Arabidopsis thaliana: one gene and its partner. The protein of the gene in region 1 interacts with the protein of each later gene in a pairwise test. Each region holds a gene or a part of one and is shown on either strand. Other genes may lie near its edges. The genes, in order: AT4G14815 and AT3G05400.

The links.
Region 2: the proteins of AT4G14815 (region 1) and AT3G05400 interact in a protein complementation assay, tested with the Arabidopsis thaliana proteins (one large-scale study listed by BioGRID).

What each region holds. Positions count from the first base shown.
Region 1 is NC_003075.7:8,503,154-8,506,623, forward strand, and holds AT4G14815 (Bifunctional inhibitor/lipid-transfer protein/seed storage 2S albumin superfamily protein), read left to right. Parts: upstream 1-1,889; 5' UTR 1,890-1,968; coding exon 1,969-2,281; intron 2,282-2,365; coding exon 2,366-2,392; intron 2,393-2,476; coding exon 2,477-2,607; 3' UTR 2,608-2,799; downstream 2,800-3,470. Other genes in the region: AT4G14805 (Bifunctional inhibitor/lipid-transfer protein/seed storage 2S albumin superfamily protein), read right to left, coding at 1-46; AT4G14810 (uncharacterized protein), read left to right, coding at 992-1,087, 1,192-1,356.
Region 2 is NC_003074.8:1,547,279-1,554,755, forward strand, and holds AT3G05400 (Major facilitator superfamily protein), read left to right. Parts: upstream 1-2,167; 5' UTR 2,168-2,423; coding exon 2,424-2,552; intron 2,553-3,134; coding exon 3,135-3,197; intron 3,198-3,457; coding exon 3,458-3,547; intron 3,548-3,665; coding exon 3,666-3,725; intron 3,726-3,862; coding exon 3,863-3,928; intron 3,929-4,004; coding exon 4,005-4,070; intron 4,071-4,161; coding exon 4,162-4,237; intron 4,238-4,336; coding exon 4,337-4,401; intron 4,402-4,501; coding exon 4,502-4,594; intron 4,595-4,755; coding exon 4,756-4,836; intron 4,837-4,952; coding exon 4,953-5,037; intron 5,038-5,125; coding exon 5,126-5,169; intron 5,170-5,311; coding exon 5,312-5,374; intron 5,375-5,482; coding exon 5,483-5,596; intron 5,597-5,874; coding exon 5,875-5,934; intron 5,935-6,042; coding exon 6,043-6,157; intron 6,158-6,545; coding exon 6,546-6,664; 3' UTR 6,665-6,941; downstream 6,942-7,477. Other genes in the region: AT3G05390 (S-adenosyl-L-methionine-dependent methyltransferase), read right to left, coding at 1-698. UniProt on the Arabidopsis thaliana protein: Sugar transporter.

The DNA of each region.
Region 1 (3,470 bases):
TGATCGTGAGTATGAGGATGAAAACGCCGGTGATTTTGGTCGCCATTTTTGTTGCTTCAGAGATCTCTCGTCTTCGTGATTAGAGTTAGTTACAGAGATTTCACACTTATGGCTGATTCGTAGCGATAACTGAGATTGTATGACGATGGTGGCGGGAAATAAACAGTTGTGGAGGTTTGATAACGAAGTTACTAATTTGCCCCTATATTGATATTTTCGGGTGATGCTGAGTTGGTAGTGACTGGCCACTAAGGTCCGTCCACGTGGGTGAAGATTAGTTTCGTTTGGGCTTTTAGATTGAATATCAAAGCCCACAGTTTATGTTTTTGACATTTTATAGTTTAGTTGACTTTGAAATTTTATACTTCTGTTTTTTAAAGAGGATAAATAAAAATCTAATGGTTACGGCGGTTGAGGCGAACAAAACCTTCAACAGATCATACCGCTTTTTATTTACCATTCATCAATTATAGTCCGCAGTAGTTCGGACCAAAAAAAAAGAAAAACCGCAGCAAACCGTTTTTATATACAAATAAATTTGGTACGCACCGATTTATTGTCCGCCCAAAAATAAAATGGATTAAACTGCAGAAAAATTAGACCTTTTTGTCCGCCGCATCCATTCAAAGTTTAAGTGGGAAAGTTAATTACTTATTTAGTTGATATTCGTTTGGACGAGGGCTCCCGAACACATCGTAAGCTAAATCGGTGCTGACGAATAACCAGCCCACAACAAATAGGAAATGTATGGAATAGTAATACTATGAATGACCCAATATAGAATACTGGTAATAATATCATCAAAAGAACGTTCTCATGTGCTTCCAAACATACTGAACTCAATATAAATTTAGAGAATCAATATAAATTTAGAGAACATAACAAACATAGACAATTAAAAAAAAGAAAAAACGAACAAACATAGACTTGTGAAACCGTTATAATTATCCATGGAACTGTTGATGCTTGTGAAACTGTAAAATCCACCAAAATGCCAGATATTCACGAAGAAACCTGCTCAACAGCTGCTAGAAAAAGGATAGTGATTGTGATTTATCCGTCCATAACGATCCATGGAGCTGTTGATGTTTGTGAAACGATAAAATCACAATTTCCTCGTAGCTGTTATGCAGATATCTTCGTGAAATATCTGATATCTTGAAGAATTTTTCTTGAAGGCTCTTTGCTTAGTTTGAATATTCGTTGACCGTGGACTCGGTGGTTCGAGTTAAGTTTCGTCAGAAGATGTTTTTTCTTGTCGTGGTTTTGTTTTTCGGTGGTCGTGAAGATCGTGAAGTGTTGGCTAATAATGGTTTACGTATGGTGGAGCATATCGGAATCTCAGTTTCTGAATAAGAACGCAAACTTTACCATATTTATATTGCAAAAGTTGGTCATGCTCTTTATCAAATAGAGAAGTTAGATCATGCAGATTAAGCCACATCCTGACATCCTTCTTTTTGTTTTTTTTTTTTATGCGACATATATCAGTTTCTATTTATTTACGAACTCCCAAAAAGACTCCAACACAAATTAAACCAATAAACTCAAACAACCATATTAAAATGAACAATTCACAAGTAAGTGTTTGGTGTTGCTTATAATTTTAATGGTTTCTACAAATTTATCTACGTATCTTATTTTTTTTCTTGTTTTTTTCATTGAAAAGGTCAGCAATCAAATTTCAATCAGGTGAAACTCAAAAACTTTATATAATCACAAAAAATAATTCAACAAACATATCCTTAAACCAAACGTAATCATATTCTTTCACAAACTTCACCATAAGGTGTTGCAAAAGTTGGTCATGCAAATTGAGCCACATCCTTATTTTCGTCTTTTTCTGCGGCCTCAACTTCTTATTTATTTACGTAACCACAAAAGAAAAGACTCCAACACAAACCATTAAGCGATCAAACAACTAAATTAAAAAAAAATCTTGAGAGATTCTTGGAACACAAGAAAAACATGAAACCTAGAATGTGTTTAATCTTGTTTATTGCTTTAATGAGAGTAATGTCGATTGTTTCTGCTCAGTCGAGTTGCACAAATGTTCTAATCAGCATGGCGCCGTGTCTCAGCTTCATCACTCAAAACACTTCTCTCCCGTCTCAACAATGTTGTAACCAGTTGGCTCATGTTGTCCGGTATTCTTCTGAGTGTTTGTGTCAGGTTCTCGATGGTGGAGGTTCTCAGCTTGGGATCAATGTTAATGAGACACAAGCTCTTGCTTTGCCTAAAGCTTGTCATGTTGAAACTCCTCCTGCTAGTCGCTGCCATAGTAAAATAAACTCACTTTCCATGCATTAGATTCATATTTTTGCTATCTTTTTTCTCTCACACATCAGAACTTTATTATTTTCAGGTGGTTCTTCGGTTAATTCACATTCAGGTAAAGGACTAACTTATAAATAGAACCTAATCTAATCATATCTATTTTGACATTATCCTTTTTTGACATTATCTCTATGAACAGAACATGGAAATGGATCAAAAACAGTCCCAAGAGAAAAGTCATCATCTGATGGTTCTATTAAGTTCTCATTCCCTCTTCTCGCCATCCTATTCACAGCTTCTTACATTACATTAATCTACGCAAAATACTGACTTATTTTACCAATAAAGCTTTTGGCCTCTTTGAAGAACATATTCATTTTTAGTCTCTATTAAATCGCGGTGTATTGTGCTGAAGTATTTTGTGCTCTAAATCCCTACTTTCTAGGTGATATTGGTTTGTAGTCCAAAGAGTGTGATTGTATATCTTTGATTTATGCAATAAACATTATTTTCTAGCTAGGACATATTTGAAATACATGATATATATATGTATTGTTATCACTAACATATGTCTAAACATCACTTAAAATTTAGAGGGAGTACTATTGTTATCACTAACACATGTATTGTAGAAGGAGTACGATTGCTATCACAAACACATGTATTGTTGCCATTTTAGTCACAGTTTCTAAATATGAGCTTTGTCTGTTACCCTAAATGTTATTGCTCAATGTTCACCATAAACTTTTGCGCAGAGTGTCGCGTCTCTATCCACTTTTTCTTTTGCCGGTAATTTTACGAAGGGAATTATCGCCTTTCTCAAAAATTTCTCTATTTTTAAGTTGCATACTTGTAAATCGTTTTGGTATTTCTCTTTTAATATTCCAGAACATATGTTGTGAAAGCTATAGACAAACATTTATATGCTGGCTGAAATCTGGAAGACAGTTTCTAGCAAGAGTCAAACAAATGTCTAGAGAAGTCAAAGCAACAATGATAATGGAAATTAACTAACACCTACTTTTCTTAATCAAACTAGTGATTCACTAATTTAAATGTGAGATTGACAGAAAAATTCTGCAAACTTTATTAAATTTAGTGATTCTTATAGACTTGTTTAGAAGACAAGTCATCAGTTTTTTTATAGAATGTAGTATTGTTTTGTGATAATGAATTTGTAGTTTTTGTTCGCA
Region 2 (7,477 bases), on another chromosome or scaffold:
GTCATTGATGCTCTTGTCAAGCATCGTCTTCTAGGTAACGGATCACACCCGTTAAGCATCAGCTTCTGTGCTAAGTTCCAATCATCATCGCAATACGCTCCAACGTCATAATCCATATACTTCTCTAGCTCCATCTTCATCAACGCACAAGCATGACCAATAGTGTTGTAAACTCTCTCTGTTCCAAACATGTTTATCTTCCCAACACGATTCTCCTTTGGTGTAATGTACTGCCTTATCTCTTCAATGAGAAACTTATTGATCAAAGGCTCTTCCTTTTCCGTTGAGTTTCTGATTCCTTCGGGTTTTGGCAACCGGATTTGCCTTAATCCGATATGAGCATAATAAAATGGCTTCATCACTTCATCTTCAAGAAACTTCTTCATCTCCTTTTTGCTTCCGTCTTTGCTCTTCTCCATATCTTTTACCGTCTTCTCTAGCTTCTCGTACAAGTTGTCCATCTTTTCTAGTACTTCATCAACACGATCGTGCAGCGCCTTTAGGTCGAATCCTTCGCTGCTGACTTCTTTGATTGTGTAGATATTGTTGCAAGTGTCTTCGTTTTGCAAGAAGTAACCCACGGAATGGAATCGGTAGAGACATGAGAGGCTCACAGTGATCACCAGTAATCCTAAGATGACTTGTAATCCTGCCATTAGTCTTCCTAATCGCCATCTCGGCAAACATGTTCTTCCCATTTCCTCTTCTTGACCAAATCTTTCAGTTATTGGTTCTAATTTTGACATAAGAAAACAGAGGAAAGTGTGAATCTTTTGTCATGCTTCAGAGAATATGGAAAAAAAACAGAGGAAAATATGAATCTTAGCTCAAATTAACTAAACAGAGAATAACGCTCCTAAAGCCAAATCTTGAATAAGTGATAAGTGAAAGAAAAAAACATTATTACCAGATAAGAATTAAGAAGAGATGCTCCTTGATGTTTTGATGGAAACCTTTCGTCTCTGGTGTCTCGAGGAAAAGTAGAAGAGATTCATGAGTTTGTTTTTTCAACCTCAAAGTTAAAACGCTATTTGAAATAGAGATCCGAGAGCTGCGGAGAAAAAGTGTGTGTTTTGTGTCTGCTTGAAGAATTACGGAGCTGGAGATACTTAAAGCTGAAGCCTAAAGCTGACTTATTGTGACTAAGTTTTAGGACAAAATCCACAAACTCTCTTTCACCAACGTGCCTAATTCCTTACTTTTCGGTGTTCTTCTGTGTCTTTGAATATAATTCAAAAGTCAACCATAGCTGATAAGTATATAATATACCAACATGCATACTTAAATTTTTTTTAAAAAAATTGTTAAATATAAGAGCACAAATCTCGTAAAGTTGTTAAGAACTTTGCTTTGCTATAGTGGAAAACAAACTAACAATATCATGCACCTTCCAAATTGAAGAAGAGATTCGAGGCAGAGGCAGACGCAGACGCATACGTCGGTTAACGGTTGGGCCGGTTATAACCGGTATATTTCCCGAAGAAGTTTGGTCTTCTCGACCTGGTTGCTAACCATTGCGCCGGAATCTATTTTCTTGGTCAAACCGAACCAAAGTCTTGTACTTAAATCTTGACGATGAAAAACAAAAACAATCATGATGATGAGTGTGATGCGATGATTAGGTGGAAGTTCAAAATACGTCTTTTCTTCCCACCTATTGATTAGACCTTTGATTTTTTTGGGGCGTCTTGGTTCAATGAATCGAGTTTCAACACCCAACGTTGTTTTGTGCGATAAATTTTGTTTTTTAAGTACCGTCAAATTATAACTATGACAGAATTTTTAAAACGATATAGCTACAATTGATTAATCAATCTAGTATATTCAAGCTTTCGACATCATAAACCAGCACTAAATTTAATTCAAGACAGTGAATAACAAGAGCCACACCCACATGTGTACTATGGTTTCGTGATTGTCTCGAACTAAAATGACGTGTCCGTTCTTCTCTCCTTTTATTTTTTTCTTCTTTACGAAAAAATGATTGAACCTTTTTTTATATTGCACTTCAACGGTTTTCACAAGTTGATGTTTCTGTCTTATAGTCCATAAATAAGTTCGAACAAGAAAAATGGCAACCGACGATTTTAGGCTAACGGCCTTATTGTTGAGGGAATCTTATTCAGATGAATGACTTAAACAGCATATAACCAAAGCAAACCGGATCCTTAAACCAAAATGTAATAAACCGTACGCTGGTTGATACAAACAATGAACATGAACCTAGACTCAATAAAAACCAGATGCATTTACATCACAACATAGCATGATATTTATTTCCATCTTTGTGGTTAACCAATCCTAGCTATTATACTAGCTAGCTAGTCTATATATCATAGGGAAGAGAAAGAAAAAACATTCTACTTCACGCAAATATTTTATCTCTTTGTTTCTTGTTCTTAATTAGGGTTTGATTGAAGAAAATGGAAGGAGAGAATAATATGGAGAAAGGATTGTTATTGGCAAAAAAGGAAGACAGTGCAAATACAACTCCACTTCTTATCTTCTCCACCTTCATCATTGTCTCTGCCTCCTTCACCTTTGGCGCTGCCGTATGTACCCATCTCTCTCTCTCTCTCTAGCTCTCTATTTCTTCTCTATATATGCACTCTCATATAGATGTTCCTATTAATTAGAACCAAATTCCAGATCTAGGCCAGAGGTATAATGAGCTAAGGAACAGATTCAAACCACCAACTTCTTTTCTTTAGCATTAATGTTATATACTAAACTTTATTGTCTTTCAACAAGATTGTTGTTTAGAAATTATTTTAACGCAGATAATCAAAACCATGATGATTTTTGGCCTCAGATTTGTAATACTTAATTTCGAATTAAAAGCTAAGTTTATATATATTGACAAAAGATGAAAAAGGTAATAATATAGTTTCTATACTATATATTATCTCTTCATATCTTCAATCTTGTGGACCTCGAAAATGTTGGATTGATAGTACGTGCTACCTATAGCCATATCTTATCTCGACATCTCTTTTAAATTTCAAGTTTCTAACCACAGTAAAGGTTAAAAAAAAATTCAAGTAATTGTATTAAAGTAAGAGTTTATAACTTCATTATGTATATAGAGTTAAAAAAGAACAACTTAATTATTTCTATCATCTTATGGTTCACAGATAGGTTATACTGCAGATACAATGTCCTCCATTATGTCAGACTTGGATCTTTCTCTCGCACAAGTAAGTCCAACTTTCATCACAATTTTTATGGGAAACAACATTAATATAATTTTTCAGTCAATTCTTCCAATTTTACAAGTGGATGGATACACGCAAACGTATACGTATTTTGTTGAAACTACTAGTTACATCGCTTTTTTTTTATATCAAATGAAAAATTATTTAGGGGTAACAAAATAGAAAAAGTTGACTACTGTACGAGCTCATATTGTTACAGTGATGACTAGTTAATTTTAATTTCTTGAGAACTATGTTTACAGTTTTCGCTGTTTGGTTCGTTGTCGACGTTTGGAGGAATGATCGGTGCAATATTCAGCGCCAAAGCTGCAAGTGCCTTCGGTCATAAAATGGTAAGTATCAATTATTCTCAAAATCACCCCTATCTTTCTTTTATTTTGTCGTAAGCCCAAAAATTTATATCGTAAATTTCTACACCCTCATTTTTTTTTGTCTTACAATATTTCTTAGACGTTGTGGGTGGCTGATTTATTCTGCATAACTGGTTGGCTTGCAATTTCACTAGCCAAGGTTCCCTCCATAACTTATATTCTTCTTTATTTTTGCAAGTTTAACAAAATTGTATATTTTATCACCATTTTAGTAATATAGTCTATGTTTTTTTGTAGTATATAATTCTTATTTTAAATTTCTTTTTTGGCACACAGGATATTATTTGGCTTGACATGGGGCGATTTTTGGTGGGAATTGGAGTTGGTCTCATTAGCTACGTGGTAAAGCTATTTCCTGAAAAGATGACAAAAAAAATATATATATATATCGTCGTAACCATAAATATTTTCTGTATAGGTTCCTGTATATATTGCAGAAATAACACCCAAGCACGTAAGAGGGGCTTTTACATTTAGCAATCAGGTGACTTACCTATTTAAAATCGAAGTTTAGACGTATATTATCATTTTATACATAAATTTGACTTATTTATTCTAACATCAATACTTCACAGCTTTTGCAAAACTGTGGAGTTGCAGTCGTATATTACTTTGGAAATTTCTTGTCATGGAGAACTTTAGCCATAATAGGTGATTCATTCCCATCAACTATCCCGATTTTAAAGATTCATTTCTCCTGATTATTATTTTATTTGCCCTAAACTAAAATATAGATATCTAATTAACCAGGTAGTATTCCATGTTGGATACAAGTTATTGGTTTGTTCTTCATACCTGAGTCTCCAAGATGGCTGGTTAGTCATATAAATCAATCGTGAAAAACTTATATCCATGAACATGATTGTTGTAATTTGTAAGTAAATATATAATAATATATGAACATAATATTTACAGGCGAAAAAAGGTCGTGATAAAGAATGTGAAGAAGTTCTTCAAAAGTTAAGAGGAAGAAAATACGATATTGTGCCTGAAGCTTGCGAAATCAAGGTACTCATACGTACAAATCAGTCCCACAAAATACAGATGTTTGACATAAATATATTTAAAATCACTTGTAGTCTTGTAGATCATTCATTCACCAAAAGAAAAAAGAAAAACAATCTACTCCTAAGCAAAAATTCTCACTTATACTTGTTTTAAATTTGTAGATTTCAGTTGAAGCTTCGAAGAAAAATTCGAATATCAACATTCGTAGTCTTTTCGAAAAGAGATATGCTCATCAACTTACAGTAAGAAAAGAAGAGTTTTATTCATTCATTAAATATATTCTAGTGATCTTGATTTTTATATAAGAACTGAATAACAAATTATTTGTTTTGTTTGGATTCGGTTGATTTTTGTTTAGATCGGCATTGGTTTGATGCTTCTGCAACAGTTATGTGGAACTGCAGGAATAAGTTCTTACGGAAGCACTCTATTTAAACTTGCCGGTAATCAGATTTATTTCCTAATTGAATTGTTTATAATTTAGTTAGGAATTTGTTTTTTGCTTTTCAAACTAATCCTTTGATTTTCTAGGGTTTCCTGCTCGGATTGGGATGATGGTGTTATCTCTTATCGTCGTACGTAAAAATTTATTAGATAGATATTTTTCTGTTTTAAATGCACTTTGACAAAAGAAAAAAAAAATATTATATATGATTGCTTCATTAATTGTATTCTCACATCCTGACCCCAATTTCTTATTAATGATCATATGCATAGGTACCAAAATCTTTAATGGGTCTAATCCTCGTGGATCGATGGGGAAGACGCCCACTTCTTATGGTTAGAAAAATTTAAATCTTTTAGGTTCAGTCTATCTTTTTTTTTACTGTGCAAGTAAAATAGTCCATAAATAAGATAAATTTTTATTTTCATACATCGAATTTGCAGACTTCAGCGTTGGGGTTGTGTTTAAGCTGTATCACATTGGCAGTAGCGTTTGGAGTTAAAGATGTCCCGGGAATTGGAAAAATTACTCCAATTTTCTGTTTCATTGGAATATTGGTAAGTTTTTCACTATTTGAATTTCACTCTAATTTATAATCTAAAAACTCTATCAAACTATATATTTACACAAACTTCAAATGTGTTATTCTGTTTTTCTTTAATATCTCAAGTACACTAAACCAAATTAGACAGCCATTTTTTTTAGGCAATCATACTTGATCAAAAATAATATGAAAGTCAAAACTCACAATATATATATATATATATATATATATATTGATTATTGTTAAATTTTCAAAATTTTGACTAGCTATAACAATTTATCATTCAAACAGTCGTTTACGATGATGTTCGCAATTGGAATGGGAGCGTTACCATGGATTATAATGTCTGAGGTATACACATATGAGCAAACATACTATTTTACAGATGTTTTTGGATTATAGTCATACCGATGATCATTTGTTAATTATTATTATTTATGTTAATTACTTTCTTGGCAGATATTTCCAATGGATATAAAGGTATTAGCTGGGAGTTTAGTGACCATAGCAAATTGGTTCACTGGTTGGATCGCCAACTATGCTTTCAATTTTATGTTGGTTTGGAGCCCAAGCGGTGAGTAACATAAAGCATATACACATTCGATTACAAATCAAAATATTCTATTAGTTTTACTTGAATAAACCGAAGCAAATATATATACAAATGCATAAATGATTTGCTAAATCCTAAATCGCTGCCTAGGCATGTAGGCATGCATGCAAGTCTTTTGTTTAATTCTTTCATGCATGCAAGTATACCGTATACGTCTCTAGTTTTTCTTTTATAACTTTTTCTTTTAAGGATGTTAATTTTTCTTTCATATGTTAAATTTGAATTAACTAGACTAACATGTTCTTTTTTCTTTTTGTATATATATAATACTAGACTAACATGCTTAATCGTGTGCTATAAGAAAAAAGCAATGGCTAATCCTGTCTATATAAATAAAAATAACTTGCAGGGACTTTTATAATATCCGCTATAATCTGTGGAGCAACAATTGTATTCACATGGTGCTTGGTGCCGGAGACTCGAAGATTAACGTTAGAAGAAATCCAACTGTCGTTTGTCAATGTTTAGGGTTCATCGGAAGCATTCATATATACATCATAAAGGTTGATATACTACATCATTTGCTACATATAATTCGGCTTCGATCGTATCCATAAATTATTTGATTAATTCAATATAATTAACTAAAGTTTCCATTGTTTAGTTGAACTCATTGAAGATTAGTTTATTTGTATACATATATATATATATATACTATTGTTTTTCTTCGGTAACAGTGCTGATTAAAATTCGAATGATGATATGCAGCCCTTACCACTTCTATAAAGTATAAACTACTATCGACCATCTTTTTATTTATTTTATTTTGGAGTTCTTACATTCATCATTATAATACACATGATCCTTAAAGCATATAGTGTGGTATATGTTAAAACAGAACAAACTACTTATATCACCATTTTGAACCTGTTTTTAGAAAATCCTTCTTTAAAAATTCAATGCTTTTTTCTTTTTCTTAACTCAAGTTCATTTCACCAATTAATAAGAGCACAATTCCTCCTCCAATAGATTATTCTCGATAAGAATTCACAAACATATTGATACATAATATATAACTTATCTAAATATAAAAAAAATTGGGTTGAAGTGTATACATGTTAAGTTTAGTGAAGTACTGAAAAGTATTAATGATTAAGGGTCTCTAAGTAAATTAAAGGATAGTGAAGTACTGAAAAGCAATTCATATTTTTGGGAGAGCGATTCTCTTTAAACGCTGCCGTTCGGCTGTTGTTCTAAACGCCACCGTTGGTAATTGTATTAAAACGTTGTCGTATAATCTCCCTCTCGAGGTGATAAGAGAGTCGACGGCAACACTCAGCG